Linked DNA regions of Cricetulus griseus. The protein of the gene in region 2 interacts with the protein of the main gene of each other region in a biochemical or structural test. Links are inferred from orthologs where the notes say so. Each region holds a gene or a part of one and is shown on either strand. Other genes may lie near its edges.

The links.
Region 1: the proteins of Tln1 (region 2) and Itgb3 form a complex in vitro, tested with the Homo sapiens proteins (6 studies listed by BioGRID and IntAct, with this or other methods). The link is inferred for Cricetulus griseus from reciprocal best matches to the Homo sapiens genes TLN1 and ITGB3.

What each region holds. Positions count from the first base shown.
Region 1 is NC_048600.1:117,689,408-117,692,585, reverse strand, and holds the end of Itgb3 (integrin beta-3), read right to left. Parts: intron 2,807-3,178; coding exon 2,640-2,806; intron 831-2,639; coding exon 765-830; 3' UTR 575-764; downstream 1-574. UniProt on the Homo sapiens protein: Integrin alpha-V/beta-3 (ITGAV:ITGB3) is a receptor for cytotactin, fibronectin, laminin, matrix metalloproteinase-2, osteopontin, osteomodulin, prothrombin, thrombospondin, vitronectin and von Willebrand factor.
Region 2 is NC_048595.1:99,973,367-99,977,182, reverse strand, and holds part of Tln1 (talin-1), read right to left. Parts: intron 3,707-3,816; coding exon 3,578-3,706; intron 3,436-3,577; coding exon 3,319-3,435; intron 3,218-3,318; coding exon 3,104-3,217; intron 2,917-3,103; coding exon 2,782-2,916; intron 2,633-2,781; coding exon 2,504-2,632; intron 2,345-2,503; coding exon 2,242-2,344; intron 2,131-2,241; coding exon 1,922-2,130; intron 1,572-1,921; coding exon 1,452-1,571; intron 1,271-1,451; coding exon 1,073-1,270; intron 904-1,072; coding exon 764-903; intron 595-763; coding exon 501-594; intron 420-500; coding exon 330-419; intron 220-329; coding exon 97-219; intron 1-96. UniProt on the Homo sapiens protein: High molecular weight cytoskeletal protein concentrated at regions of cell-matrix and cell-cell contacts. Involved in connections of major cytoskeletal structures to the plasma membrane.

The DNA.
Region 1 (3,178 bases), on a different chromosome or scaffold from region 2:
TGGCAAAAGATGCAGGCAACTCTTGAGGACTCAATTCTCCCCTAGCTCCACCTTCTGCCTGAGGGAAGGGAGGTGGGCAGAGGCACAAATGATACAACTGGCCTTCAAAGGCAAGCAGTTCCTACTGTAGCTGTTGACAGGACCAAGAACCAGATCATACAAACTCAGTATAGAGCCAAGGCCTGGTATCGCTTCCTCTGGAACCAAAACATCTCAGCCCCACCCTTCTCTCTAGGAGAATGACCTAACAAGGCAAGCTGGCTTCTCAGAGGTAACAGAGAGTGCCCGCTCAGCATCATGAGTTCCCCTCAAGCTAAGCACGAAGAATCCCTTCAGGAGGGATTCTGAGGACAAAGGCTGTGGAGCTCTGCCTATGGGGACAACTCAAAAGTTTTAAGCTACACATTACCCCACACTCAACACACACACACACACACACATATATACATATATATGTGTATATATTTATACACACATATATATACACACACACACACATATATATATATATATATATATATATATATATAGAGAGAGAGAGAGAGAGAGAGAGAGAGAGATAAACTCCCATTAACACATACGCACACACACATATATATACACATACACAGAGATACACTCCCACATACTTTTTTCAGCTGGTCCCAATCCAAGCCCCAGATTCTACCCACAAATACTGTCCCCTGTAAACATGATGTCACAGACTCCCACAATCTGACAAATCTGGCCTAAGCTGACAAAGTTCTAAGGATGACTTCTTCTCATTAAGTGCCCCGGTAGGTGATATTGGTGAAGGTGGAGGTGGCCTCTTTAAACAGTGGGTTGTTTGCCTGCAAAAAGAGCAGAAGAGAGTCACAGTCAGCTCCTTGCACTTCCTTACCCTCAGCAGTTGAATTTCATCTGAGAATTTTGCCCAAGACATCCTTCTCTAGAGTCAACTGTCAAAAGCAGCCGTGTGCACATATACGCTTTTGCTCTGAGGATGGGACTAGACAGTTAGTTAGGAGAGGAGAGGATGGTGTGTTGCTAGTCAGCCGCCATTTCTAAGGGCTTCTAATTCAGCCCATAACTTTTGGTGGTGAATACCCATTAGTTCTTGGCTGTCCCAAAATAGTGTACCATTTTACCCAGTCTCTCCTATTTCCTCTTCTCTCTCTACTCTTCCTTTCCCTTCATCACGGCAGTGCCAGGAGATGTGAGCCAGAAAGGAAAAGGGGAGTAGGTGGGGTCAGAACACAGAGCTTTACTGAAATAATTCTTGCTTTATCTCATCTCTTGAGTCAATTGCTACCCACAAACCTGTTGTGTGCTCAGGAAGACAGAAGACCTTTACTGAGTTTCCAAAATTATTTCCCAACAAAACTGATGAATCCCCCGCTCAATGGCAGTACGAGATATTTACAAAATTCTTTGGTCCCTTGGTGGCTCAGAATGTTCTACATAGTCCCAACAGAAACATCTCTGCTTCTTGGGTCCAGTGAATACAAAATCTAGGGTCACCAGGAACAAAGTTTCAGCCTAACCCTGGATACTCTATAGAGTCAAATGGTCACTTGGTAGGTTCAGGAAAAATAAAATGAACAAAAAGAGAATAGAATTAAATATACAGGTGGTTCTCAAAAAAAAAAAAAACTGCTCGTTTGATAGGCTGGTGAGCTGGCACAGTAGGGGTGGGGGGAGAACTTGCTGCTGAGTTCCATCCTCAGAACCCACAAGAAAGAAGAGGACTGACTCCTGCAACTTGTCCCCTGACCTCTGCACAAATGCCATGGCATGCATTGGTTTGCACACACACAAACACTCTTTTCTTAATGCTCATTTGGTTGGATTAAATCAGGATAAACTGCATCCTGGGTCCCCCAGAGAAGCCTGGTTTGGAAGCTACTACTTTGCATTTGCAGAAAAGGAGAGAATGAAGTAAACAGATGTACTGTGGCTACATCAAAAGGTCGACCCCGAACGGAATTCCTACAGTCACCCAATTCCTTTCTGGGTCAGGCAAGCTACTTTAATTCTCAGCTTCAGCCTCCTTAACAGAGAGAAAGCAAAGTAAGGTGTCAAAAGCACCTTACAGTTTTTGGTGTGAAGTCCTCAGTAAATGTTCACTCTTCTGTCACTTTCTGTTCATGTTTAAACTTCAGACTTGCTCACCACTATACAGTGTGTTACAGATCTGCCCTGTCTCAATCAACTGGAGAGTAAATGTCTCCTTTCATCACAGAGTCCTATGTGTGCACAGACAGGGATCACGACTTTCAGTCACTGTAAGGTAAAGGACTGGGTGTTTTTCATGAACTATAAAGACAAAAGAGGATAGTCAAACCATCTGCCAAACAGGATAACTAGGGAACAACTGTCGGGGCTGACTCCGACCACAGCGAACATCTGGTGCCTGGACCTCAGGTTCTGGTTTGGGGGAGGCTTTGTTTGTATTTTGTTTTGATTTGTTTGGGATTTTGGTTTTTTGAGATAGGGTTTCTCTGTGTGACACCCCTGGCTGGCCTGGAATTCATTCTGTAGACCAGGCCAGCCTCGAACTCACTGAGATCTGCCTGCCTCTGCCTCCAGACCACTGCCCGGCAACCTCTGGCTCTTGAACCAAAGATTTAAGAAAACACAAGCACAGCACAGCCTCTTACTGTGTCCCATTTTGCTCTGGCTCGTTCTTCCTCAAATTTAGCAAATTCCTTCCGGTCATGGATGGTGATGAGTAGCTTCCAGATGAGCAGAGTAGCAAGACCGATGAGCAGAATGGCTCCCATCACTGACATCAGGACCATCAGGATGTCAGGACCCTTGGGACACTCTGGGAGACAGAGGGAGAAAGCAGGAGTCACCAGACATGTCTAGGAATGAGGTCTTAACACGTAAACAAAGGACTGGAACTAAGATAGTCAAAACAGTAATTTCACCCTTTTTTTGAAGGGGGGCAGTCTTTAAAACAGCCATAATCTGTCCTAAGTGGTCTAAAGCAGAGTTCTCAGGCCGAATTGTACCCATCTGATGCAGGTTCACCCAAGTGTACATTTTAAAACTTAGTGGAGAGATGGCTCAGAGGCAAAGAGCACTCCCTGCTATTTCAGAGAACCCACATTAAATTCCCAGCACCCACATGGTGGCCCAGAACCATCTATAAATCCAGACCACTTGACAACCTCTTCTGACCTTCCCTGGCACC
Region 2 (3,816 bases):
CAGATTTTGCACTAGCTTCTTGATTTATATCCTTGCAAAGGGAGAAAGGACATAGAAAGCAAGAGCTGCTCTAGGAGTCCATCTGAGGGAAATAACCTGTGCAGCGGCCTCGGTGAAGCCACAGAGGGCCTTGGAGGCTGTGGCGATGGCATCTCCAAACTCCGGCAGATTTCCATTCTTGGCATTTTGGGAGATGCCAGTCATGGCCTCACCTAGGACCTAAGGAAGAGAGGGTGTCAGGAGGGTCGGATCACATCCTGAGCATCAAGGTATCAGTGTTAAGTCCATCTTCCTGTCCTTGCCTCTCTAGAGCTCCCCGGCCCACTAACCTTTGAGTTCTCCATGACACTGTCCAAACAACCGAAGTAAGACATGTCATTGATGGGTTGGACTGGATTCTCCAGGAGTTCTCGGACTGTCTGTGTAGGGGAGTGACATGAAATTTGAGACATTCCCTCAGCCCTAGCTCCTTAGTTCCAGCTACTATGCTAAAGGCTCACCTCTAGTTCCCGAAGGGCATTGTCACACTCCTTCTGTCCAGGTGCTTGCTGGGTGCACATGGTGATAAGCTGGTTGATGCTGTCTGTCACCGCCCTGTTTGGGGGAGGGGTGTGGAACTCAGTGAGTAGGTGATCTTCCCTGTGTCCTGTGTGCATGGGACTGTATATATTTTCTTTTGCTAACCCTGGGGATGTCTTAGGAAATGTCTTCTCTCTGGCCTTCTCACAGGTTCCCAGAGCTGGGCTTTCCAGTTCCTGCTTACCTAGCAGCTGCAGCCAGTTGACTCTTTAGGTTGGGAGCAGCAGGGTCTGTGGATAAGGCCTTAGCAGCCAGAAGAAGTTTGCTTGAAGACATGGATATGCCCTTCAAGTTGGAGACCACCTGGGCTCGGTCCTCCTGGCTCTGTTACAGGTGAGAGCATACATTATCCTGTCATATCTGTTTCTAAAAGGATCTTTCCCAAATACTCACATTCTGATAGACCCTGGGGAGGAGGCAACCAGCAGACCCAGACCCCAAACAGCCATGTGTCCCCTACTGTGCCCTCATAACACCCTTTGCCCCATCGTACCGGGGCCTGTCCAGCCATCTCCACTCCAGCTTCCAGGAAGGTGCTGAAGTCCTGTCCAAATCGACCTGAGGCCCGAGCCAGGTCCTGAGGGGTTCCTCTGGAGGCCTGTACCAGTTCTGTGGCTGCCTGATTTAATCCAGCAGCAGCTTCATTCAGTCGGCTCTGAGCTTCTTGAAATGTCCCAGTGCTGGGAGGAAGCTGTGGGGTCAGAGGGAAAGTCAGGAAGATGGATGGGAGGTGAGACAGAGTTTGGGAAAGGAAGGCCAGTAAGATGGGCACGGGACCTAGGAATAATGAAAAGGGCAGCTCTGGGAAGGCAGGGTCAAAGGAGAAGCCCAGAGACAGAAAGCTCTCCTCTCCTAGCCATGCCTGTTCCTACCGAGTCACTCAGGAGTCGCTTGCTGGCATCTCCAACTGCTCGTAGGGCATTGTCCACATCTCTTTGGCCAGGCAGGCAGCTGACACAGCGGTTCAGGGCCTGGGTCACAGCTTTCGCCACCTGAAGTGGAAAAGAAACAGGGTTGCCAAAGAAGGAATAATCTGGGAGAGCCCTCCTTCCACACTGGGACATAGGAGATAACAAGCTGTCCTGCCACTAAAACTGGAAGAAGCTGAGGTCAGGGTCATAACAAACAATAATCACCAAACATCCCCAAACCCGCTGCTCTGCAAGGTTTGTGCCTAAGCCTAACAGATACTTCTAAGACAAGAGAGAAGGTGGAATTCAGAGAGGCACTCTTATGAGCAGATCTGAGGACACACGAAGCTGAAGAGTGTGTGTCTTATTAGGGTGAACCTTTTGAAGAGATCTAAGGGAGGGGTGGGCAGGAGCCCCTCCTAATAACTGACCTGAGCAAGCCTTTGCTGGCTCTCTGGGTCCCCTGGATGGCCAGCTGCTTTTTTTGCCTCATCAATGAGGCTGCTGGCCTTGTCCAGAACATCACTGGCTGTGTCAAGCACAATGGCCTGCACCGCAGGATCTGATGTCAGGGCAGCTACACCCCGAGCAGCCTGGGCAAGTGACCGTAGTCCACCTGCCACATCCCGAGCTGCAATACCTGGGGACACACAGAGGAGATAGGTTTGCTCCATTAGCTTCTCTCCCCAACAAGGCCCCCCTTCTCCATTTCCCTATCATATGTCCCATTCCTAGCCTTGTGCCTACATACCTGCATAGTTCTCATTGCCTTGGGCAACCTCCCCCAGCAGCTTAGCAATGGCAGAGCTCACTGCTTTCGTGCTGTTGCCAAGATCCTGGGCACACTTCTCCATCTGCAGATAAGAGGGTGAAGGCTTAGGAGGAGGAGGAAGTGAGAGGGTATCTGAGAAGGTTCTTGGGGACAGCTGGAAGATTAAATGAAGGTTCTAGGGCATAGCTGAGCAGACTTTCATGGTTTGGCTGAGGGCATGTTAATAAGACCGACTACTCACTGTTTCCCCAGGTAAGGGTTTAAGCTTGCCATCTCGAGCTGCTGCTTTTACTTCCTGCAGGTCTTTCTCTAGATTCTGTACGACGCTCAGTGCAGAATCCATCTCCAAAGGTCCACATGCCTCCTGAGCCTGTGATGGCGAGCAGCAGGGGGTATGGCTACATTCCTGGGCCTCAGACTACAGTCATCCCTCTTAGAGGTTATAGTGTACAAATTCTCCCCCATCCCAGGAGTCCACATACAGAGCCTCATCTTCCACAGCTAGAACAGCTCCCATACCTTCTGGGCAGCAGTACGGAGCTCTGCCAGTGCAGTGCCTAGGTTCTTTGCACATTGACTCAGCTGCATTGCTGAAGCCTGGTCCTGAATTGTTGGCACTGAGGCTTTTGCAGCTGCCACCATCTTCCCACCTGGCTGTTGGAGAAGATATGCAAATGAGGTATACAATACCCTCTCTCTAGCCTTCCAACGGACACTGGTAGGGTGCAGTAAGTAAGCACTCAGGTTTGGTCTCAGCTACTAGCAGATACTCAGATTGTGGGGGATCTAAGGTCTTGGAAAGGTGGGGAGGATCTGGTCTTAGAAGTGGAGAGTGTCTTGCCTGCAGGAAGCTCTGGCTGGCAGCAATGAGGGCGAGCTGGGCACTGGGGCTGTCAGGTTGAGCTTGGCTTCCTCGGACGCCCTGTACCAGCAATGGAATCTGCTCTGCCACAGCCTGTAGGTCAAAGTGCCATGAATCTCATGCTCTTGAAGTCAGGGAAAGTACTACCTTTGTTCTGACCCCTCCCTACTCCCACATGCCTCTTGGAGACTTACCTTACAGCTCTGCACCAGCAGGGGCTGGGGGCCAGCAGAGGCCTTGGGGGCAGAGGCTGCATGCTGGGCTGCAGCGATGGTCTGCGTAGCAGAGGCTGCAGCTTGTTTGGCTGCATGCTAGAAGGACAGAGTGATCAGAAGACCAGGCATTCCCAGGCCCTGGCCTACACGGCACTCTCCCCACCTACCCCCACTCATTCCTCTCACTGCATCCGTGCATTTACCCCCCCACCTCCCTGCAAGGACTGCCCAGCCTTACCTCCAGGCGCTGCACCAACTTTTTCTTGATGGCATTCTGTGCAGCTGCATTGGTGGCCATGCGAAGCCCCTCAGCCGCTTCACGCAGCCGCTGCTGCTGTTCCTCACTGTCAGGGTGGGCAGCTGCTCCCTGAGAGGAGAGTCATAATCCGTCATCACTTTGACCCGAAATTCACTCTTTTCTGAGTCCTCTAGACCTAGTTTAAAGCTCACTTGTTTTCCTGAGGTAACTGTTAATCG